Linked DNA regions of Xenopus tropicalis. The protein of the gene in region 5 interacts with the protein of the main gene of each other region in a pairwise test. Links are inferred from orthologs where the notes say so. Each region holds a gene or a part of one and is shown on either strand. Other genes may lie near its edges.

The links.
Region 1: the proteins of washc3 (region 5) and cchcr1 interact in binary tests that used the Homo sapiens proteins (3 or more experiments, as listed by UniProt). The link is inferred for Xenopus tropicalis from reciprocal best matches to the Homo sapiens genes WASHC3 and CCHCR1.
Region 2: the proteins of washc3 (region 5) and pbxip1 interact in binary tests that used the Homo sapiens proteins (3 or more experiments, as listed by UniProt). The two-hybrid records come from large-scale screens. The link is inferred for Xenopus tropicalis from reciprocal best matches to the Homo sapiens genes WASHC3 and PBXIP1.
Region 3: the proteins of washc3 (region 5) and ift20 interact in binary tests that used the Homo sapiens proteins (3 or more experiments, as listed by UniProt). The two-hybrid records come from large-scale screens. The link is inferred for Xenopus tropicalis from reciprocal best matches to the Homo sapiens genes WASHC3 and IFT20.
Region 4: the proteins of washc3 (region 5) and hsbp1 interact in binary tests that used the Homo sapiens proteins (3 or more experiments, as listed by UniProt). The two-hybrid records come from large-scale screens. The link is inferred for Xenopus tropicalis from reciprocal best matches to the Homo sapiens genes WASHC3 and HSBP1.
Region 6: the proteins of washc3 (region 5) and txlna interact in binary tests that used the Homo sapiens proteins (3 or more experiments, as listed by UniProt). The two-hybrid records come from large-scale screens. The link is inferred for Xenopus tropicalis from reciprocal best matches to the Homo sapiens genes WASHC3 and TXLNA.

Annotation. Positions count from the first base shown.
Region 1 is NC_030684.2:75,151,315-75,154,814, reverse strand, and holds part of cchcr1 (coiled-coil alpha-helical rod protein 1), read right to left. Parts: intron 3,147-3,500; coding exon 2,948-3,146; intron 1-2,947. UniProt on the Homo sapiens protein: May be a regulator of keratinocyte proliferation or differentiation.
Region 2 is NC_030684.2:145,127,653-145,131,877, forward strand, and holds the start of pbxip1 (pre-B-cell leukemia transcription factor-interacting protein 1), read left to right. Parts: upstream 1-1,425; 5' UTR 1,426-1,534; intron 1,535-4,225. UniProt on the Homo sapiens protein: Regulator of pre-B-cell leukemia transcription factors (BPXs) function. Inhibits the binding of PBX1-HOX complex to DNA and blocks the transcriptional activity of E2A-PBX1.
Region 3 is NC_030678.2:47,412,886-47,416,983, forward strand, and holds the start of ift20 (intraflagellar transport protein 20 homolog), read right to left. Parts: upstream 2,801-4,098; 5' UTR 2,522-2,800; intron 1-2,521. UniProt on the Homo sapiens protein: Part of intraflagellar transport (IFT) particles involved in ciliary process assembly. May play a role in the trafficking of ciliary membrane proteins from the Golgi complex to the cilium.
Region 4 is NC_030680.2:62,632,707-62,636,942, reverse strand, and holds the start of hsbp1 (heat shock factor-binding protein 1), read right to left. Parts: upstream 2,801-4,236; 5' UTR 2,785-2,800; coding exon 2,740-2,784; intron 1-2,739. UniProt on the Homo sapiens protein: Negative regulator of the heat shock response. Negatively affects HSF1 DNA-binding activity. May have a role in the suppression of the activation of the stress response during the aging process.
Region 5 is NC_030679.2:49,099,141-49,103,082, reverse strand, and holds the start of washc3 (WASH complex subunit CCDC53), read left to right. Parts: upstream 1-1,142; 5' UTR 1,143-1,209; coding exon 1,210-1,260; intron 1,261-3,430; coding exon 3,431-3,529; intron 3,530-3,884; coding exon 3,885-3,942. UniProt on the Homo sapiens protein: Acts as a component of the WASH core complex that functions as a nucleation-promoting factor (NPF) at the surface of endosomes, where it recruits and activates the Arp2/3 complex to induce actin polymerization, playing a key role in the fission of tubules that serve as transport intermediates during endosome sorting.
Region 6 is NC_030678.2:86,595,709-86,599,208, reverse strand, and holds part of txlna (alpha-taxilin), read right to left. Parts: coding exon 3,461-3,500; intron 2,853-3,460; coding exon 2,761-2,852; intron 2,645-2,760; coding exon 2,474-2,644; intron 2,259-2,473; coding exon 2,064-2,258; intron 1,590-2,063; coding exon 1,470-1,589; intron 1-1,469. UniProt on the Homo sapiens protein: May be involved in intracellular vesicle traffic and potentially in calcium-dependent exocytosis in neuroendocrine cells.

The DNA.
Region 1 (3,500 bases), on a different chromosome or scaffold from region 5:
TAAGCATGCTATATATCCCATTACCCTTTTATGTTGTGAAACATTGCCACAAACGCTCACCACTGCCCCCAACTGGGAGAAAAGGCTTCATGCCCAAGTTTCATTATATTTGTTCCTATAGTTGCAATTATTTTATCTGTTTGCCCTAGAGTTTCCAGTATCCCCAAACCATTGTACAGTGCTTTGGAATAAGGTGAAATATTATAAAACTTTAAGAACTATAACAAATAAGCAATAGACTGATATTATTAGCCTAAACACAGAACAAATTTATTTTGCTAAATTTAAGTATTAATGTAGCCATTCTTAGCCAAAATATAAGCCCTGAAATAGCTCAGTGTTGAGCAGAGGGAAACATATGTCAGCTTTGAAGTTCAATGCCCAGAGGAGAATCTTATTCTATAAAGACAAAAAGGAATATCTTGCCAGTATTTTTTACTGTCTCCTGGAAGAACTACATGCTTGAACAAAGGCACCTTTTAGAGGAATTTGATGCAGCCAGTATATTTATCTTGATTTGACTGCATGGAGTTTCTTAATTTTCATGGGAAGGAATCACCACTGCCTCGCTATAAGAAACTAAATCCCTGGTGCATGCATTTCAGTGCGGTGGTTTAGAAAAGGGACTAGTGGTAATGCTTTGGGGACATGCTGTAAAAGCTGGGTTTCGTTCTTTAAGCTGTTACTCACCTGCCATCTGGCTTTAAGTCAGGGCACTTTTAAAACTATTTTGGTTGGTTCTGTTCCATATTATGTGAGTTGCTGATTCCAGGGCAACTGTTGGAGGTCAGCCTGAAGCACACTGGACCCATGAGTTTACCTGTAAGCATGGGTTGCTGGATAAAACTTCAGCAGGACCTTTCTCTGTTCCTGTCTTCTCGGTGCATACCCCAACCACTCCTGTTCAGATAGGGCCCATGTATCACCCCCTCTATACAAGCATAGGTAATAAATAAGATAAGATAATAAAGGATATTTAAGGGGGCTTGGCATCTCCAAAAAGATATGACCTGTTATATATATTTGCCATTCAGTGCCCTTGAATGAGCCAGCCTCTTCAATAAAAATTTCAATAAGGATAAAATATGTGACAAAGTTAGGGTTAGAAATTTTACCTGCTGTGCTACCTATATTTTTTACTGTGGGCCAACTAACAAAACTAATAGGTGGATTTTACATAAAAGTGTGTCCCAATGCATTTTTATGTATACACCAGAGCTTACTGGTGTGTGCAACATGGAAGAATAAAGAAGGTAGATGTTCATAACTATGCTGGGCAGGTTTTCTCAGTCAACCAAAGCATCTCTGATGCAACTCTTTCAACAGAGGCAGAAAAGAAGCTATGCCAAGGCATAAATCGCTTTATACATTATGATTAAAAAAAAAAAACTCAACAAAGTAATACATGCATTGCATTTGTAAAGTTTGTAAACTTTTTTTTTCATCCACTGTATAGTAGTTCCCCTTTTAAGGGCAAGAAAAGGCAAATTTAAACCCTGATGCCCCTTTTTGGAAAAAAATTGTACAGGCCCAGAGAAATTACAGGGTGGCCACTGACACCTTACAGAGTTCTCAAGTGGCTGGCTTAACTTAATTTGGCTGTTCCGAAGTAAATATGTAGTTCACACATTTTAGTATGGTGTAGACAGCACAAGTTTAATTGGTCATCTTAATTATGAAGACCTATATTACAACTTAAAAAAAATACGTTTCTTTGTTCGAGAATATAATTGTAAATGGTAAAATGAATTATCTGCTATGTAAACAGTGTAATTTAGAAATAAACGTATACCATAAAAATCAAGACAGTATCCATTTAAAGAATCTACAACCTGTCCTGAATATAATCCAAATGTTTACTCCATTCCAGAAAGAAATGTCTGTGTAATACATGCCCTTACACCTGTTTAAGACCTAAGGCTAGATATTAAAACATAAGATTCCTTTACTTTTCTACCTTATTTTGTTAATGCAATTTTGCCCACCCTCAAGGCGCAGCAAGATTTTTTTTAGCTTGTTTATGCCCAAGTTTGTGAAGAAGAACTACATTAGTCATGCAATTGTCTACTGTATCAATCTTTTCTGGCCAAAATTCCAAACTAAATGGTCTAGTATGGTATAATGATCTTACAAAATAACGTCAAAAAGAATGTGAAGGACTTTACATGTAATGATAAATGCAAATTATCATGTCACTCAACATATTGCACAAAAGTTGCAGCATGTGAGAAATTTGTGCGACAGCTAAATCACACCGTATTGTTTAGAATTGCTGACATTGGACATATTGAATGTGCAGCCATCAGACATATTGCTGGGGACAACAACTGTAAGTATCCACAATCAGAGTTGTTAAAGATGCTGGTGCAGACACATTATACTTTTTAGGAGTATATTATTAATCTGTTGCTTTTCTTGAAAAGTCAGGAATTGAATATATATGATCTGGAAAATCCCCTACTGAGAGCATAGCAGTAGATAGTGATAGTAAGAGCTTAAAGTACTGACTATTAAAGATAAAGATGCTTTGCAAAAATGTTTTTTTCTCACAGGGCCTGTTCAAATTCAGACGATGTTCTGAAGGTGAACATCCCCTTTAAAGTTTCATTTTCACCTACTCCCTGGTGAGCTCTGTGAGGGGGTCTCCAACTCTTAACTGTTCTAATCCCATTAGTTGATGCATTTCTTTGGCCCTGTTGAGCATAATCCCAGCTTTCATTAAAAGCAACTGTTATAACTGATACAATGTTTGCTAACATTAGATAGAAGACACCGAAAAAGTATCAAATTGTAATAGTCTGCATCTGGATTAATGAGCTGCTGGACTGAAGCACCAGAGAGAGGAACAGCAACTTTAAACTTCAATATTAGAAAAAATAATCTCTCTTAAAACAATTAAACTGAAAAAAGTGTTTGGAAGATGAGCAACCACTAGTTTTAGATATACCTTGATTGGATAACTTCTTTCTCCATCTCTTGTTTCTTTCTCAGTTCCTCATTTGCTTGCCTTAGGCTTACCAACTCCCTTGCAAGGTCTGTCCATGGTTCACAGATTGGAGGATGAGATGTAACCGACACAGAAGGTGGAGGAACAGACACACGACGACGGTTTTCAAAATGGGAAGGGGGAATCAGCCCACCTAGACCTAAAGAAGAGAAAGATAACATCATACAAAACAATGAAGATGTCATTGTCACAGTCTTTATTGTGAAAGTCATGACATGTTTAACCACTCCCAAAGCTCTCCTACATAACACCCTGTTACATTTTAAAGATCTCCTGAAACTCACCCCTTTTTGAACACAAATCATGACGGTCTTTTGGAAAAAAGAGTTAAAAATTATGACTGGTATGGCATCACACAGCTCAGTGAAAAGCTAAGCTGAATGGGCACAGCTTATCCACCCTGGTAAAAACTACCTTGCATAACAATAAAACGAATTCATAATTCCTGCCAGAGCCTGTTAATGTGTAAAAGCTGGGAAGTTGAAAAAATCCT
Region 2 (4,225 bases), on a different chromosome or scaffold from region 5:
AAGATGGAGACAGTAGGACAAGATGGGGACAGTAGGACAAGATGGGGACAGTAGGACAAGATGGAGACAGTAGGACAAGATGGGGACAGTAGGGCAAGATGGAGACAGTAGAACAAGATGGAGACTGTAGGACAAGATGGAGACAGTAGGGCAAGATGGAGACAGTAGGGCAAGATGGGGACAGTAGGGCAAGATGGAGACAGTAGGACAAGATGGAGACAGTAGGACAAGATGGGGACAGTAGGGCAAGATGGAGACAGTAGGACAAGATGGAGACAGTAGGGCAAGATGGAGACAGTAGGACAAGATGGGGACAGTAGGGCAAGATGGAGACAGTAGGGCAAGATGGGGACAGTAGGGCAAGATGGAGACAGTAGGGCAAGATGGGGACAGTAGGGCAAGATGGGGACAGTAGGGCAAGATGGAGACAGTAGGGCAAGATGGAGACAGTAGGACAAGATGGGGACAGTAGGGCAAGATGGAGACAGTAGGACAAGATGGGGACAGTAGGACAAGATGGGGACAGTAGGGCAAGATGGGGACAGTAGGGCAAGATGGAGACAGTAGGGCAAGATGGAGACAGTAGGGCAAGATGGAGACAGTAGGGCAAGATGGGGACAGTAGGACAAGATGGGGACAGTAGGGCAAGATGGAGACAGTAGGACAAGATGGAGACAGTAGGACAAGATGGGGACAGTAGGACAAGATGGGGACAGTAGGGCAAGATGGGGACAGTAGGGCAAGATGGAGACAGTAGGGCAAGATGGAGACAGTAGGACAAGATGGGGACAGTAGGGCAAGATGGGGACAGTAGGGCAAGATGGAGACAGTAGGACAAGATGGAGACAGTAGGGCAAGATGGGGACAGTAGGACAAGATGGGGACAGTAGGGCAAGATGGGGACAGTAGGGCAAGATGGGGACAGTAGGGCAAGATGGAGACAGTAGGGCAAGATGGGGACAGTAGGGCAAGATGGGGACAGTAGGGCAAGATGGGGACAGTAGGGCAAGATGGGGACAGTAGGGCAAGATGGAGACAGTAGGACAAGATGGAGCATCAGCTTGAGGCCTGGGTTACATGGTTGCTATGGGACTAAGGCAATGAACACCAGCAGGACCCACTCTAGGAGCTACTGGTTACACAGTAATACATTGCACCTGTCACTCACCTACCCCAGACCCACCCCCCTGGCCCCAGACTGAGGCTACAAGCTCAGTGGGCGGTACCTGATACATTCTGAGTGACAGCCTCAGAGCTGAACTAGACTAAATACTTTTCTCCCCTCAGCACTGCCCCTGCCACTCACTCACATAAGCTCCTCCCCAGACCCCGCCCCTTCAGCTGTCCGTGCACCTGTCACTTTTCAAGCCGGGAGACACAGGGTTAAGCCATAGTCGGGGGCGGAGCCAGATGTCCCTCAGACACAATGAGACGTTCTGTTTGGCCCCGCTCCCTGGGGGAGAGCGCTGATTGGCCAGCTGGAGTCACGTGGGATGCGAGAACTGGAACCTGTTGCTGTAGAGAAGTTTGTGAGGTGAGTTTGGGGCAGCGGGAGCGGTACCGGCACATTAACCCCCGCACTGCCGGGACATTCCGTCCGTAACCCCCGCACTGCCGGGACATTCTGTCCGTAACCCCCGCACTGCCGGGACATTCTGTCCGTAACCCCCGCACTGCCGGCACATTCTGTCCGTAACCCCCGCACTGCCGGGACATTCCGTCCGTAACCCCCGCACTGCCGGGACATTCTGTCCGTAACCCCCGCACTGCCGGGTCATTCTGTCCGTAACCCCCGCACTGCCGGCACATTCTGTCCGTAACCCCCGCACTGCCGGGACATTCTGTCCGTAACCCCCGCACTGCCGGGACATTCTGTCCGTAACCCCCGCACTGCCGGGTCATTCTGTCCGTAACCCCCGCACTGCCGGCACATTCTGTCCGTAACCCCCGCACTGCCGGGTCATTCTGTCCGTAACCCCCGCACTGCCGGGTCATTCTGTCCGTAACCCCCGCACTGCCGGGACATTCTGTCCGTAACCCCCGCACTGCCGGGTCATTCTGTCCGTAACCCCCGCACTGCCGGGACATTCTGTCCGTAACCCCCGCACTGCCGGCACATTCCGTCCGTAACCCCTGCACTGCCGGGACATTCTGTCCGTAACCCCCGCACTGCCGGCACATTCTGTCCGTAACCCCGCACTGCCGGGACATTCTGTCCGTAACCCCCGCACTGCCGGCACATTCTGTCCGTAACCCCCGCACTGCCGGGACATTCCGTCCGTAACCCCCGCACTGCCGGGTCATTCTGTCCGTAACCCCCGCACTGCCGGGTCATTCTGTCCGTAACCCCCGCACTGCCGGGTCATTCTGTCCGTAACCCCCGCACTGCCGGGTCATTCTGTCCGTAACCCCCGCACTGCCGGGTCATTCTGTCCGTAACCCCCGCACTGCCGGGTCATTCTGTCCGTAACCCCCGCACTGCCGGGTCATTCTGTCCGTAACCCCCGCACTGCCGGGTCATTCCGTCCGTAACCCCCGCACTGCCGGGTCATTCCGTCCGTAACCCCCGCCACTGCCGGGACATTCTGTCCGTAACCCCCGCACTGCCGGGTCATTCTGTCCGTAACCCCCGCTCTGCCGGGTCATTCCGTCCGTAACCCCGCACTGCCGGACATTCTGTCCGTAACCCCCGCACTGCCGGGTCATTCTGTCCGTAACCCCCGCACTGCCGGGTCATTCCGTCCGTAACCCCCGCACTGCCGGCACATTCTGTCCGTAACCCCCGCACTGCCGGGTCATTCTGTCCGTAACCCCCGCACTGCCGGGTCATTCCGTCCGTAACCCCCGCACTGCCGGGACATTCCGTCCGTAACCCCCGCACTGCCGGGACATTCTGTCCGTAACCCCCGCACTGCCGGGACATTCTGTCCGTAACCCCCGCACTGCCGGGTCATTCTGTCCGTAACCCCCGCACTGCCGGGACATTCTGTCCGTAACCCCCGCACTGCCGGGACATTCCGTCCGTAACCCCCGCACTGCCGGGACATTCTGTCCGTAACCCCCGCACTGCCGGGACATTCTGTCCGTAACCCCCGCACTTGCCGGGTCATTCTGTCCGTAACCCCCGCACTGCCGGGACATTCTGTCCGTAACCCCCGCACTGCCGGCACATTCTGTCCGTAACCCCCGCACTGCCGGGACATTCTGTCCGTAACCCCCGCACTGCCGGGACATTCTGTCCGTAACCCCTGCACTGCCGGGACATTCTGTCCGTAACCCCCGCACTGCCGGGAACTACATGGGGCCCCAAGGAACTGTCAGCCAGGGAACTACATGGGGGCCCCAAGGAACTGTCAGCCAGGGAACTACATGGGGGCCCCAAGGAACTGTCAGCCAGGGAACTACATGGGGGCCCCAAGGAACTGTCAGCCAGGGAACTACATGGGGCCCCAAGGAACTGTCAGCCAGGGAACTACATGGGGGCCCCAAGGAACTGTCAGCCAGGGAACTACATGGGGCCCAAGGAACTGTCAGCCAGGGAACTACATGGGGGCCCCAAGGAAACTGTCAGCCAGGGAACTACATGGGGGCCCCAAGGAACTGTCAGCCAGGGAACTACATGGGGGCCCCAAGGAACTGTCAGCCAGGGAACTACATGGGGGCCCCAAGGAACTGTCAGCCAGGGAACTACATGGGGGCCCCAAGGAACTGTCAGCCAGGGAACTACATGGGGGCCCCAAGGAACTGTCAGCCAGGGAACTACATGGGGGCCCCAAGGAACTGTCAGCCAGGGAACTACATGGGGGCCCCAAGGAACTGTCAGCCAGGGAACTACATGGGGCCCCAAGGAACTGTCAGCCAGGGAACTACATGGGGCCCCAAGGAACTGTCAGCCAGGGAACTACATGGGGGCCCCAAGGAACTGTCAGCCAGGGAACTACATGGGGGCCCCAAGGAACTGTCAGCCAGGGAACTACATGGGGCCCCAAGGAACTGTCAGCCAGGGAACTACATGGGGGCCCCAAGGAACTGTCAGCCAGGGAACTACATGGGGGCCCCAAGGAACTGTCAGCCAGGGAACTACATGGGGGCCCCAAGGAACTGTCAGCCAGGGAACTACATGGGGCCCCAAGGAACTGTCAGCCAGGGAACTACATGGGGGCCCAAGGAACTGTCAGCCAGGGAACTACATGGGGGCCCAAGGAACTGTCAGCCAGGGAACTAC
Region 3 (4,098 bases), on a different chromosome or scaffold from region 5:
ATGCTTTCAGTTATATAACCACGCCCAACCCAGTCATCTGTGATGTCACCAGAGGGATTTGCCACAAACCAATAAATAAATAAAGGGAATGGTGCCCGCAGTCATCAACCACACCAAGAAATCAGAGCAGCCCATTCTGCTCATTTCCCCCAGCTTCTCTCACACCAGCCAGGCAAATCCCTTAAGAACCACCTATCCTTCTGACTCCTGCTATTATTGTGGTTCTTTCACATGACGATCCTGCGGTTGCCTTCTACATCTGAGAAGTAACAACAGTTGTGGTAGCAGACTTATTGGTCAAATGTTAAAAGATACCCCCACCACAGTATTCTTAAAATATATCAAGCGACTAAATGGGCATCTTAAGATCTCTTAAAAATCCTCATGTCGTGACAGCACCTAGAAAGTAACTTATTGAGGGAGGAAGGGTTCAATTTATGTGACAAACAACTGTTGGCTATGGGAAGCTGCAGAGTAGCTCTTTGCCAAAAGAGAAATTAACAGAAGCCATTTGGGGTTACGTTTTACTTTAAAGTGGTAGTCCACCTGAAAATTACCTGTAAGTATGTTATGGACTATGGCATTCTCATTAACTGGATATTTATTGATAGGAGTGGGAGTAACACATACATTAAAGCACCTTATCTATAGATTTCAGTAAAAACAGTGGCATCTGCTGCCCAAGCCATTATTCTGCATCAAATGAGAGATCTATTTGGCTTTACTCATCAAGAAGATCTATTTATTTATTTCAAATTCAAGAACCTATCAGTGTAATACATCTTTTACACATGAGATGCTGCTATCAATGAACTTCAGCCTTTTAACCTGAGCCTATAAAGCATCTATACAGAAAGTTAGCCCCAAAATCTGATGTTTCTAGGTCAAAGGGGCTGATTACAAAAGTGGTACAAATAAACATGTTTTTATTGTCTGTTCAGAAATTTGAGAGGGCTGCTTTACTATGTCTTTAGCAGTACAGAGCATGGAAAAACCCCCATCTTAGTAATGATTGTGTGATGTAACAGGGAATACCACACACTGGCACAAAATGCTGGGGCACATTTGCAATTTACTATATTACTCTAAAATTCATGGTTTTAGAGGTTTCTAAAAACCATGAAAAAACTCATTTCCACTAAAACCAAGGGGCTGATTTACTAAGACACGAATTCGAATTGGAAAAATTCAGATTGGAAAATGAACATTTTGCGACTTTTTCAGCGCCTTTACGACTTTTCGGAAATTGTCGCGACTTTTTCGTTACCAATACGATTTGCGCGAAAAACGCGAATTTTTGTAGCCATTAAGATTCGCTCGTATCTTGTCGCGACTTTTTCGTATTGAACGCTCGTAAGCGGCGGGCGAAACTTTCAGACTTAGCAAGATTTTGGAAGCCTCCCATAGGACTCAATGGCACCCTGCAGCTCCAACCTGGCCCAAGAAAAGTCACCATACTGAAGCTTGAATGAATCCGAACGCTACGAAAAAATCACAACATTTTGCGCAACTTTCGGAATGGCTACGAAAAAGGCACAACTTTTCGCTTAAGTTTTAACGCTCTGAAAAAATCGCCAGATTTTGCGCAACATTCGGAATGGCAACGAAAAAGTCGCGATAATTTTCCGAAAAATCGCCAAATACCGATCATTACGAAAAAACCGCAATTGGACGCATTCGGCCCGTTCGTGGGTAAGTAAATGTGCCCCCAAGTGTCTAGTCATTTGTTGAAAGAACTAAAATGCAAAACAAAAACCAAAAGAACATGAAAATATGAATCATGAAAAAAAAATACAAACATTAACAAACGCTGCCTTCGGTTTTGTGATGAGGGACAAAGATGATGGATCTCTTTCAGACCCTGAACACTATGTGGCTATCCTGAATAGGATAACAGAGAGATCCCATCATGCTCACACAAATATGGGTGTCCCTATAGCATCAAGCCTCTTACTCTTACCTTATTCCCCTGCCATGGATGCACTAAGTGCACAGACAGGATGAGATTTCCTTATGCACAGTGGCTGCAGGTTTCTGAGCACAAAGGCCAGTTTGCCCCATAGTGCCCCAGAACTGCCCCTCTCTGTCCTGCCTGCCCTACACTAGCCCTGTAAGCAGCCTCAGCCTAATACAATCACTAGGTACATCTCATAAAGCTGATAATGAAGATAATTGTGTTATTTATTAGACACATACTAGTGTAGGAATGTTCCAGGCTACTATGCCGCTGTATCTGTTGCTGACTGACTGTCTCCTACCCCAGTCCCACAAGGTGGAGCTGCCAATCAGCAAAAGCTGCCCTGTTAACGCTGAAAATTCTGTGGAGCGCAATGAATTTGGGAATTTTTGCCAAGGGCTTGTCACCCATAGCAACCAGATGTTTGCTTGTAACAACGACATGCCACCTGCAGACTGGATGCTATGAGTAACTTGCTCAGTATCAGAATTATCGCCTTTTATTCCATTAGCCCCAAAGTCCCCGGAACGGTCACATTTACTGCCCCACACCAGCTGCTCTTACCTCCCGGTACCCTTCGGCTTCAGCTGCCACGGATACAACTCGCTGCTGTTTACAGACGTCACTTCCTAGGACACAATCTAGATTCCATAGTGACAAAGCGGAAGCTGAGTATGTGGGCGCCATGTTGCATACTGGCAAAACATTATTCCAGAAACTTGATTGTGTAGTTGAGCTTCGAATCGTCCTCACGGAAAGTGACTAAATCTCTGTTGGAAGCGATATGATGCAAATTGAGAACATATTTAATACTGGAGGTGTATTACCACAGGTGCCTGACTGCGTTCACATAAGATATAGTTGTTCTGGCGTACACACATTTTTAGAGAGTAAAAAGTCTGCAGTTATAAAAAAAGGTCATGTTAAAGCCCACGACTTTCTAACCGGTAAATCCAGAACTAAATATGTCCGCTAGTATTAATTCCTTCTTTTTAGCGAGGTTTAAGCGATGACCAGGGAACTAATGCCGAGGGACAGCGCCATGGGTTTCCGGGAGTTTAGTTTGTTATTGCCTAAAATGCGTAAAGCTGCGGCGTAGGTCAGTATAGCTTGCTACTACATTTCCCAGCATGCCCTGGCGCTGGGCGGTGCCTAACTTGACCCAAGATGATTGTGCGGGCGGTTTCTGTGGCAACAAGTTGCGGAAGTGACCTCAGCTAGTGGAAAAGATGGAGGAAGATGTGGGGAAGTGAGTGAAGCGGAGCGCCCTGTATGTAGTGTTGTTAGTAGTAACCCGTGTAGCTGCAGGTGTGTGTGGGACAGAGGATGCGGCACGGAGGTACGGCTTGTAGGAACTGCCCCACTGGGGGCGCTGTCACACAGGGGCTTATTATCAGCCACACGCCCATAGCATGATACAGAGGGATGGCTCACATGCAGGGCCATGTACCGACCGACACATTAGCGTGTAGCAGTATGGGGAGGCCTGGCCAGGAAGGGAATTACAGTAACAGTATGGGGAGGCCAGGAAGGGAATTACAGTAGCAGTATGGGGAGGCCTGGCCAGGAAGGGAATTACAGTAACAGTATGGGGAGGCCTGGCCAGGAAGGGAATTACAGTAACAGTATGGGGAGGCCTGGCCAGGAAGGGAATTACAGTAACAGTATGGGGAGGCCTGGCCAGGAAGGGAATTACAGGTAACAGTATGGGGAGGCCTGGTCCAGGAAGGGAATTACAGTAGCAGTATGGGGAGGCCCTGGCCAGGAAGGGAATTACAGTAGCAGTATGGGGAGGCCTGGCCAGGAAGGGAATTACAGTAACAGTATGGGGAGGCCTGGCCAGGAAGGGAATTACAGTAACAGTAATGGGGAGGCCTGGCCAGGAAGGGAATTACAGTAACAGTATGGGGAGGCCTGGCCAGGAAGGGAATTACAGTAACAGTATGGGGAGGCCTGGCCAGGAAGGGAATTACAGTAACAGTATGGGGAGGCCTGGCCAGGAAGGGAATTACAGTAACAGTATGGGGAGGCCTGGCCAGGAAGGGAATTACAGTAAGACAGTAATGGGGAGGCCTGGCCAGGAAGGGAATTACAGTAGCAGTATGGGGAGGCCTGGCCAGGAAGGGAATTACAGTAGCAGT
Region 4 (4,236 bases), on a different chromosome or scaffold from region 5:
TTGTGAGCAAATAAATTGATAAACACATAAATCATGGGCAGTAATACCCTAAGCATGTATATTGCAGCGCAATACAGAACTGGTCTTGTCAAGTTATACAGTACCATACAATGACTCTATGGAACAAGTGTATAGGTAAATCAGCAGCAACCTGCATTAACCTTCCATATAAAGCCACCCACAGCAACATCTAAACTGCAAGACCGGCCTGGCACCCTCAACCACAATATCATGTCAGATTCATGTCAGATGATATGTTTGGCTATATAATGTAAATCAATTCTACTTTAGTTCCAGAATACACTTTTATAAGAATGTCACAAATTACGTAATTAATAAGCTATATGTGATCAATACAAATATAGGTTTCCCCACATACAGTCAGGTCATGTTCAAAAGTTTGGGCACCCCCTGATCATTTACCTACTTTGTTGTGAGCAGTAAGAAGTTTATGCAGAAGCAATGTGCAGTTATCAGGGATCCCTGATAAAGTTCCTTTAACTACTACTGCAGGATTCTGTGTCTTGGTAGAAATTCCATTGAAGGAATAATGAGCTGAGGAATGAGTGTGGTAGTGGGGACTTGAGAAACTTTAGTTAACAGTGGAACAAGGGAACGACACACTTAACCCTTTAAGAGATCATCATATTCAGCATTAGGAAATGCGATTCTTGCACAGGGTTACACAGACCCCAAAAATGTATGTTTTATCATGTTGGCATGATGCTACGTGCATGTCAGTTAAAAAGTATTAACCCTGAAATCCTTGCAAATCTTAAAGCACAATTACTATTTACTTACAAAAAAACATGTTATGTGCATATTGTTTTGGACATCCCTTTAGAAAAAAAATAATGCAGCAATGTGACTAACCTATTGCCAGTTGTCACTGGTTTGTGCATTTAATTCTTCTGCACAAGTACGAGTGTTAAATCCTTACTAGGGACACCTGGAGAAGTGCACTGACCAAAAACATTTTGATTATAGGTAGAATCTATACTTCCATCTATCCACACTGGCTCGCCACACAACCCCAACAGAACCATCCACAAGCTAGTGGCAAGGTGCTCTTCAGACCCTTATTCTTTTTTCTCCAAACATATATGGTGATTGTAGCCAAAATCAATGAAATGTTTGTTTCCTAAAATTACAGCACTTGGTTCCAAAAGGTTATTGACTGTTCTAAGTGTACTGTTACATACAACAGGGCTGAGGGCGACTAATCTCCCTGCAATGCCATCCCACCGGCTAGAATGTAAATCGCTGGTGGGATGGCATATGCATCCCTGCGAAGTCCCGAAGTCGCCCAAAGTTGTCTTGAGAGGAAACTTTGGGCAACTGTGGGACATCGCAGTGACGCGTAGGGCCCACTTTGCCAAGCAGACAACAGATAAAGTATTCAGAATACAATGGGCTTTTTGTGTACACCAATGGGGTTGTCAACTGTAATTCACTGCTTTCTACAGCGTTCTAGGAATGAAAAATATTTTTATAAAAAAAAAAACAATGGTGAATGAAATGACTTGCCAATTCTGAGCAGACATTATTAGATTTAAATACATTTACAAAGTACTGCCACCTTTTTTTTTTTTTTGTTATTGGTCATTTTAAAGTCTTGCACAACCAAAAAGGATATATACCGAGCAGCAAGTTTTCAGCTAATGACATACAAATATTTAACAATGATAACACTATTTTTATTGTTAAAAAATTGATTCGTGAAACTCCAAAAATTAAAAACGAATCAAGTCAAGTCTTGCCCTTACTAAATCACTAAGCAATGCAGCACTGCAATGCCACTTTTACTTCATTTTCCCAGGTGTCTCACTTTAAACTCAGATGCACAGAAGAGTAAAATTTTCAGATTCATACAAGTTAAGGTATGGGATCCCTTATCTGGAAACCGATTATCCAGAAAGTTTCGAACTACGGAAAGACCCTCTCCCATAGACTGCATTATAAGCAAATAATTCACAAAATGTTTATAAATGATTATCTTTTTCTCTGTAATAATAAAACAGAACCTTGTACTTGATCCCAACTAAGATATAATTAATCCTTATTGGAGGCAAAACAATCCTATTGGTTTTATTTACGGTTTACATAATTTTATTAGCAGACTTAAGGTAGGAGATCTGAATTACAGAAAGACCCCTTATCTGGAAAACCCCAGATCCTGAGCATTCTGGATAATGGGTCCCATACCTGTATTAGGATAAACACATTGCAAAGGTAGGTAAAATGGTGAAGCCGAGCTGCGTTGTTCCCCGGGGCCAGTGCATTTTTGTTTGTTAAAAGGAGCAGAAAAAATAACCTTGTCCTTTAAAATAGGGACACATCTATGTGGCTGCTCCAACTAAATCCAAGTCTTTACTGCATTGGGCTGTGCCCCTTTTTCAGTTTAGTGTAATTTATTGGAGATTTATCTCAAATCCACATATACAGATTCTGATTCTATTGTGGTTTTATAATCAGCTGAATCTTTTGTAAAGGATTCAATATTTGGTCGAATCAAAAATGACAGGTCTTGTAAATCCCTAGTTTAAACAAAAAATTGTATTAAAAAAAAAAAAAAAGAGAGAAGCAAAAGAGTGATGGGAGATGTAAACATTAATGGCAGAAGGGCCACAAAGGCGACTTCCAATCTGCAAGCAGACTGGCCATTACTGCGGGACCATGCTCCTAGTTTTATATCATTTAATAATCATTAACACATCGCGCCCTAAAAGCTGCGCTCACCACCACGGTCAGGTCCTGCACTGTCTTAGGATCTGTCTCCGACATAATGGATCCTTCTCCAATACCAAAGCCCTTTCCGGCCACACAATCCACCCCTCACCGCAGAAGCTTTTTTTCAAGAAATATCGCGATAGTTCAGGAGACTGCTGACCAATAGGCATCAAGAGTAGGAATTTCCCACAGGATGTTGTAGTAGTATTAGAACGAGGCTATAAACGCAAAGTTGTTGCCGGATGTGGTTGACGAGGTAGTTTCTATGGTGACAGGAGCGAATCGCTTAGGAAACGAACTACAACGCTGAGAAGCTTGGGTTGGGCCGCCAGGTTTCTAGGAGATCTGTTCCGCTTCATGGGTGCTTTTAACATAAACATGTGTATTGATGAAGATTATTTAGTTACATAACTTGCCGGGAAAAGCAATCCTAATGCAGGGCCACTTTTTATTCGACCCCTTAAAATCGAAACTAAAAAATAAATGAATAAAAATAATAGTGCAGGACCAAGTATTCAATATACTTATACAGCCAATATGCATGTAATGAAGCGTCACAGTTTTTAATTTTAGCATATCGCATTATTTGCCTATTGTGAAACAATGTCTCTCAATTGATTACATGTATTAGTAATTATCCAGGTCCAACAGCCTCAAGTAAATATAAGGAAGGTAAGGTATGAAGTAGGTAGGGATGAACTGAATCCAGGATTTGGTTTGGGATTCTGACTTTTGTAGCAGGATTTGGATTTGGTGAACCCATGTCTCTGGTCGAACTGAATCGGAATGCTTAAAACTTTTTGCCACATAAACCCGGAAGTTGAAAATGTTTCTGTTTAGACATTTTCTTCTATGATCTTGTCCCTGCTAAACAGAATTTCCATTTATTTGCTTAATACCCTTTTACATGACTTCAGATTAAAGGAGAATGCAAGTCAAAATTTAAAAAGCATACTGCCCAATAGTCCTCCTATTGTTTAGTAAAAACGCCACACTTTTGGCTCACCTAATCAAATATTTACTCAGTCACACTTACTTCACATTTTCTAGAACAGGCAGCCATCTCTAAAAAGGTATTCTCTCTTCCTTTCCCTCCTTGCTTCATACTGCACATGTGTTTCACTCCCTCCCCCCCTCCCCTCTGCCAGATCCGCTTCTGATTGGCTGGTGGGCATGTGTAGCTCAGAACAGGAGACAGGATCAAGTTACACACATGCTCAGAGAATAGGAAGGCTGCCGCTGGCAGCCTACAGGAAGGGAAGAGAGATTTCAGTGATGTCACTGTAGTCTTCACACTGCTGTAGGCTGTCAGCACCATATCTCAGAGAAGCAAGCAGGGATCTGGGAATTAAGATATGCAGTAAGCACTGTTCCCTCTAAGCTGTGCGCGTGTGCGCGCGCACACGACTTTTCGAACCCGCGCACACAAATTAAAATAGCGCGCACAAAAATTAAATTTTTGTAACTTGATTTAGACAAACTGAAAGACCTGCGCAAAAATGCCCA
Region 5 (3,942 bases):
TTCCAAAAAGCATGAAAGTAAGCCACCTGTGACATAACAAATGTGAATTTATAGAATAGGCAGATAGAACAGTCACATTATGGTACTTTGCTTTGCTAGTTAGTCATATGGACCCTAAAGGGACAACTATGGCTTTTGTTTTTGTTTTCTCTATTTTACTTTATATTAGTTATTTTTCTCTGTATACTTTTTGCCTGACCCATGGATATGGGCCAATACTATTGGTGCCAGTTTTAAAAGTAGCACAAGTGAAACAGCAGTTTTTTTCTCTGGTAATCCTTAAACAATAAAACCTCAAACTTACAATATTCGGTGCGTGTATGGTATGTCGGCGAGTCGACCGATATCGCAAGAAGCTGCTGATAACGGCCAACTCGCTGATCGGACCAGTTTGAACATTTTGATCGGGCGCCATAGAAGGCGCCTGACCAAAATCTCCCTTCAGCGCTGAATCGGCAGGAGGTAGAAATCCTATTGTTTCTACCTCCTTACCTGCCGATTCAGCCCTGAATGGTGTGTGGCGGATCTGACGATGTTTCGTGCGACCGATGGTCGCCACGTGTATGGCCAGCTTAAGGTGGCAACCCTATCTAGTGCAAAAAGTGCTACTGTGCTCTCTGTGATAGCGATGCACTAGCCCCTTCTGATGCAAAAAAAAAAAAAATGGTCTCAGGGTGGCATTATAGGTAAAACACCTCTGCCCAGGTCCCTTCTATAATATACTTTTATAAAAGTAAAAAAATTGAGCAGCCACTGAATACAAGGTTTGTAATAATAATTAAAAAAAAACCAACAACCCTGCAGCCAGCAGGAGAGGGCTGAGGCGACACATTATGCTCCCTGTACAAAAGAGTTTGCGGCACCCATAACCAGTTCATTTGTTACTGCACTTCCCTTCCTGCTCAAAAGCTGCAATCTGCTGCCTACTAATACAAACGAATTAAGAAACTCATCTGGCATTGAGTGGGTTAAGTCTAAAAAGCAAGTGCTTTGAGTGGCGTTAGTCACATGAATACGTCGGAAACAGAAGCAGTTCTGTAGTCACTGAATCATTATTAAGCCAGCAGCAACTTTAGCCATGGAGGTTTTATAAGCAAGAGAGGTTCTGTGTGCCGCTCTGGCTTCAGTCTTCTCTATGGTACGGAAGGAATCACATGACAGACCATGTCACAACACAAGGTAGTGCAGTGAGCAAGGGGAGCTGGGCTGATGGATGAAGACGGGCTGCCTATAGTGGGCTCTGGGATTGACCTCACTAAGGTGCGTCTTTTAGGGGGAAGTGAAGGGGAATGGGCAGATTTAATGTGTATTGTAATGTGTGTTCATGTGCATTTTTCTAGTCAGTCAGCTCTACACTAACCTGTAGTCATTAAGGGAAGGCAAGTTACACTTTTACTGTGTATTCATTCATTTTATTTACTGTGCAGTCATGATATTGGTACTGTAATGTTCTTAGCATATCCATATGGCTCCTGTCTTAACTGACCTGCTGTCCCATATACTTGATTATTTACTGTTACTGCACTTGTCTGTAGCTGATGTTTCATAGTGCTTTGTGGTGTTACACTTGCTGTAAAGATGTCCAGTTGTTCAAATTGTGGCTAGGCTTTTCCTTAATGGCACATACATCATGTGTTTCAAAAAAAGCCATTTCCACGAAAGCATTGGTCAGCTCCATTCAGACTCAGACACAATCGGGCTTGTTTATGGCTGCAGTTGTGATGGTGCTAATCAAGGATGCAATCATTAAGAGATTCATTAAAGGTATTTGTGCACTTGCTTATATTTGAACTAAGTAACCTTGTGCCTGTCTGTGCATCTAATGATGCAGGGGAACCCTAGTGCTACCTCTAGCTTGCAGGTGGCCGTAATTCCAGGGTTCCCATTGTGAGCTGCATCAACAGGCACAGCAAACTTACACCCAAAAAATCACATGCAGGTGTCTTTTTAACACAGAGTGGTGGAAATAATGCAGTAGCCTCTACAACTATTTTAATCACATTTGCGTACTTCAGAAGCAGTAGCCCTCTCATTAAGGGTGAAGTCACACTGAGCTACTAGTAGCAGCTACTTTTTCACAGCTACTAAACTCCAGAAAATACCTTGCCATAGACAATAACGGTGAAGGCACACAGAGCTACTTAGTAGCAGCTACTTGTCAAGGCTACTAAATGCCAGAAAATACCCAGCCTTAGACAATACCGAGAATTGCCCCTGCTAAAACATACGTAGAGACAGTAGCCACGACAAGTAGCTGCTACTAATAGCTCTGTGTGTCTTCATCTTAACACTGAAGTACATTGCCTCTTCCGTTTATAAAACATCTCCGCTGGCTTAAGGTCTTAAAAATGTGTTTTTCAAAGGGCTTTATTATGTCATACTGCTGCTTAATAATCCCAGGGATACAGCATCCCTGTTAACAGCGAAGCCCTTCTACCCACTATTATTTTTTGATTAATCCTGTAGACATAACTGTCCTTTGCTGTTGTGCAGAGGACTCTGGTTAGAAGTGTATACACACAGCTAGTATACACGGCCGTCAGCCATGGGCTGCAGAGTGAGATATCCTAATTAACTGGGCTTCTGTATCTTCAGGATTGTGGAATAATTCTATGGCATTTGTTTGAACTCACACTTTTAAGTTTAGTTACCCTATGGAGAATTGGATAAAATCTCTTTTCATTGCAAACTATTAAATCCTTCCCTCAATATCCACTCTTTTTAAAGGTGTGTCTCAATGATGTGCACTAACTAACCCCGATTGTTCAGCTGTGTAAAGGTGGCCATACATGGTAAAATTCACTTGTATGATGGCGTCGCTTAACAAGTGAATCTTTCCCCGGATATGCTCACCTTGAGCGGGTGATATTGTGCTAATGTGATTGTTTGGCCCTAGGGCCAAAAGATTACATTAAAATGAACGGGATATGAGAAGTTGGAGCAAGTACCGCATTAATGATCGGGGAGTCCTGTCCCAATACACAGGCAGATAAGCTCGGTCTAAAGGATCCGAATTAGCAGCTTAAATATGTTGTGTATGGCCATCTTTACATCTTGTCATCCTCGAGCAAGGAGCCCTGCAAAGATGCAGGCAGCTGTAACTTCAGAACTGCAAAAGTGCCTCTGCTGGTCATTATGTGCCAGGCCCCATAGAGTTATTCTGATTAGAGTTTTGGAAATATTGCCTTGGTCAAAAAGCCTTTCAGTTTGTCATTAGTAGGCTAGTTCTATTAAACATTTCACCACTCATCGGAGGAGCTTCTAATTCAAGTTGCTTTAGATTTAACACAACTAGGTATTGTTTTCCATGGCCTGGATGAATGAACCCTTTATATACCTGTTCAAACTAATATCCGTTGCTTGCACTGTGTTCTATACCTTTTGCAAATGCAGTATACTGACCTTTTTTCTTTTATTTAATAAACCCTAGGTCCCACCTATTCAGCAGAAAAGAACAGTGGCATTTTTGAACCAGTTTGTTGTGCACTCTGTTCAGTTCCTTAACCGGTTTGCTACAGTTTGTGAAGAGGTACTGTATTCCTAGCGTGTTCTAGCTTTCCCTCTTTTCTACAGCATTGACTGGAAACCAAGTGCTACTTAGTCTATTGCAGCTTGCACTGTTCAGATGAGAGAATGTTATGGTAAATGTTATCGTTTGAAATCTCAGTACATGTACATTTTGGGGCTTTCAGGTAATTTAATGGCTGCACGGGCTTGGTGGGAGCTTACATTACATTGCCCATATGAACAGGGTCTTCTCTATATGCTGCATAGGCCAGTGATCCTATTTAATTTGCATCTTTGATTATTTACCCCTCACAGAGCTACAGAATATGTCCATTATTTAGACCTTTAATGTTGGTACTTTGTTTTTATTGTTTTAGAAACTTTCTGCCTTGTCCCTACGTATTCAGCAGATTGAAACAACCCTTAATATTTTGG
Region 6 (3,500 bases), on a different chromosome or scaffold from region 5:
TAAGTGTGACACAGCTTAAGTCTACATTTTGTATTGCCTGTGGTTCCCGATCTGCTTAAACGGTTTGACTTTCAGTTCTGCTTCCTACAGACGGAAATATAAAATACATTACGGACACCAGCAACCAAATGTGTATTAAACCTAAATCTATATTTTAATTTTATTTTCATTACATTTTTGTAATTTAGCTTTCTGTTCATCTATCAGTTAGTCATTTAACTGTACCAGTAATTAAGACATTAGTAACAGATTTTGAATTTCAAACTGGGGTGCTGCAGAACAAAAAGCTTAATTATCTTATCTATACCCCTGTATACATCATGCTTAAAATCCTATTGTCCTGATTCCACTGCCAGCGTATGATGAGGTCATTGTGTGGCTTTCTAGGTGAATTTTTTTCCCTTTTTGTTTAGGCTGAAATCTCTTCTGGTGCTATATTATAGCTCAACATGTTGAATACCAAAGTACAGGACAGGATAAGGTAGTTGGGCAGGGTTATTTCCATTTCCTGCTCCCTACTTCAGGGTGGAATGAACATTAGGGCTCGTTTATGAAGTGAGCACAAAGTGCAAGGTATGGATGCAGATCATCATGTTCACTGCCAAAGTGGATGCAACTCTCTTTGTAAACAGGGTATCAGTTAATGCAGCTTTTTACTTATTGAATTTGTGTGCAAAGGGCAAATGAATCATTGCAATGGATATTGCCACAAAGTGTTTATAGGTGCAGGACTAACAGGACTTCCTACCCCTAACTGGAAGTTCTGTCTCCTATGGACAGTACAAAGTGAAGAAAAGGATTTCAGAGTAAGACATAACTCCCCTTTTATCCTAAGCCTAAGGTGGACACAAAATAAACCGAGAACCAACGTCTCCTAAGAAAGGTGAGAGAAACTGTCAGGGAGGACTGCATCAGTAAACCGCAGTCCCCGATCTGATGGAAAAATCAAACCTGCCTGATTGACACCTTGCCAGATTTCAGTTGGGTAGCCCCGTTGGGGGTCCCCATAAACAGGACAAGCTGCCTAATACTTCTAAAAGGACTCTACTTAGCAGCTTAAATCTGCCTCAGTATGGCCACCTTAAGTCATGAAAGGTCAGCCTGCCACAAAAAATATAGCTAATAAAGGGGTGGGGGGGGGGGGGGATACTGTAGGCAGGATGTGATAAGAAAGAATTACTTGTGCAGCAGCAAGACAAGAATTGTAGGATGATGTTTTTGTCAAATTAACACTGACCTATATAAATATTTCAGGGGGTATTATAATGTTTAAATGTTTGCTCAGGGAGCAGTTACTGGTCTGCTGGTAAATATCTGGATTGGTTCCAATTAGTTACTAGACCAGAAGCACACATTTCAGCTATTATAACATTACCCTTTAAACTCACTCATCATTTAATGATGAGATGGTCAAAAATTTGGGCAACATATCATAAAATATAAAAATCGATTCAACTGTAGTAACTTACAAACTCCTTTTCCCGCTGGTGACGCTCTTCCACTTCTTTCAGCATTTCTTGTGCTTGCTGAAGCTTCGCATCCACCAGTTGCTGTTGAAGATCCTTATGTTTGAAAACTTTGTCAATGTGCTGGAGGGAACAAAAATAAATATACGGAAAATGGAAGATGGTTACATTAGAGACTGCTAGTAAAGACATAGTGCAGTCTTTCCTTAAAATACGCTTGGCTCATTCTTCTTATTACAAGTACATAGTTATTTTACACTACATACACATTTTAGGTATGCCAAATAGTTATGAATTAAAATTTATTTTGAAAACTTGATTTTCCCTCTGCTTTGAATTCTACCACTTTTTATGTTACAAGGGGTGAGCTATTGGGGTAAAAAGGGAACATGAGCTTCACGAATTCTGTCTTGCCTTGCCATGCCTCCTGAAAGGAGGGAATTTACCCAATGGGTTATGTGATCTCCTGGTAGTGAGAGAAGTGAGTGCTCAAAGCATAACAAATCATCAATAGATGTGTCACTAACCCTGGTGGCTAATTCCACATTATTCCATTGCTTTGTTTTATCAAATAAAAACAATCCTCTCTCCCCTCACCTCTTCTCTTAGCTCATATTGCTCGATAAGCTTCTTAAGTCGATCAGCAAGCTCAACATTCTCTTGACGCAGTTTAGCATTACGTTCATTGTGCTGCTCCATCTGTGACTGGATGTCATTGAGCGTCACTTGGAAATGGGAGGTTACTTCTTTGCGTTTCTCTTCCTCCTCACGAGCCCTCTGTACTCCTTCCTCCTGTGCAGGTGCAAATACATGCGATACAAAGGCTGAGCAGAAATGCTAGGTTTGAGCTTCAAAACAACAAAGTCAAAACAACCAACTGACAGCAATGATATAGGGAGTATCTCAGCATACTATGTAGATGAAGTAGAGTTGGGCATGGGCCAATAACACAATCAACTTACAGCATGCTCCTGTGTAAGTGGGAACTTAGTAGTCAGAGTACTTGCCTTTAGTGTACGGTTGTGTCTCTGTAGCTCTCTGCACAAACTTTCGAGCTTGCTTCTTGCCAGGATTGCCTTGCTGTGCTCATTACGAAGTAGATCCTTTTCTTGAATAAGCTGGGTCTGTTTTTTTTGCAGTATCCTCATTTGCTTCTGAGATGTCCTGTGCTCCTCCAACTTGGGTAGAGGGAAACAAAAGAAAATTACATTTACAATATGATCAGCCACTCACAATATAAATAAGCTTAAAGATTAACACGTCATCAATAACCATTGCACTTATGGTCCCTCACCAGTTCTGCATACTTCTTACACAGGGCAGTCAGCTTTTCCTCTGGGGTGCTGAGTGTGTTCAGAGTCTGCATTAATAATGTGATCTCCTTTCCTAAAACATGAGGGATCTGTCAGATTTAAACATAACAGCAATCTGGAAACATTGCTACAAGCAAAATAACTAGAACACACACACACACACTACCATTTTATGGTAAAGGGTTTAAAAAAAAAAAAACTAATCTCAAATGCATATACACATTACAACACTCTACATTGCCACTTATAGGTAGAAAAAGGGTAACAGTCAAGAAATACAACTAAGTTAATACAAGCTGGTTAGTAAAATTATTATCCTATGATGAAATGTGTAAAAATATTAACATCAATAATTTAAGGACACATTTGGAAATAATACTGCCAAGTATATGCAGTAAATGTGAGACAATTAAAATACTACAAATACAAATTTTGGGTGAAACAGCTGACAGCCTGACATAACCTGGGCCCACTGAGAAATGGATTGGAAACACCTAGTCTATAGAAATCTTTAGCTACTAGACATGATTAACAATTCTCCACATTGTTTGAGGCAGACGCATTGTGGTGGTCCTGAAACGGTCTCATTATGTAACAATGGAAAACAATATTGAACAATACCTCAGGTCAGGGATTGTAATGGCAAGTATGGCATACTTGACTTTAAAGGTTTCAACTTACCCAGACCCTTTGCCTTTTTTTTGTCTTGCATTCGTTTCTG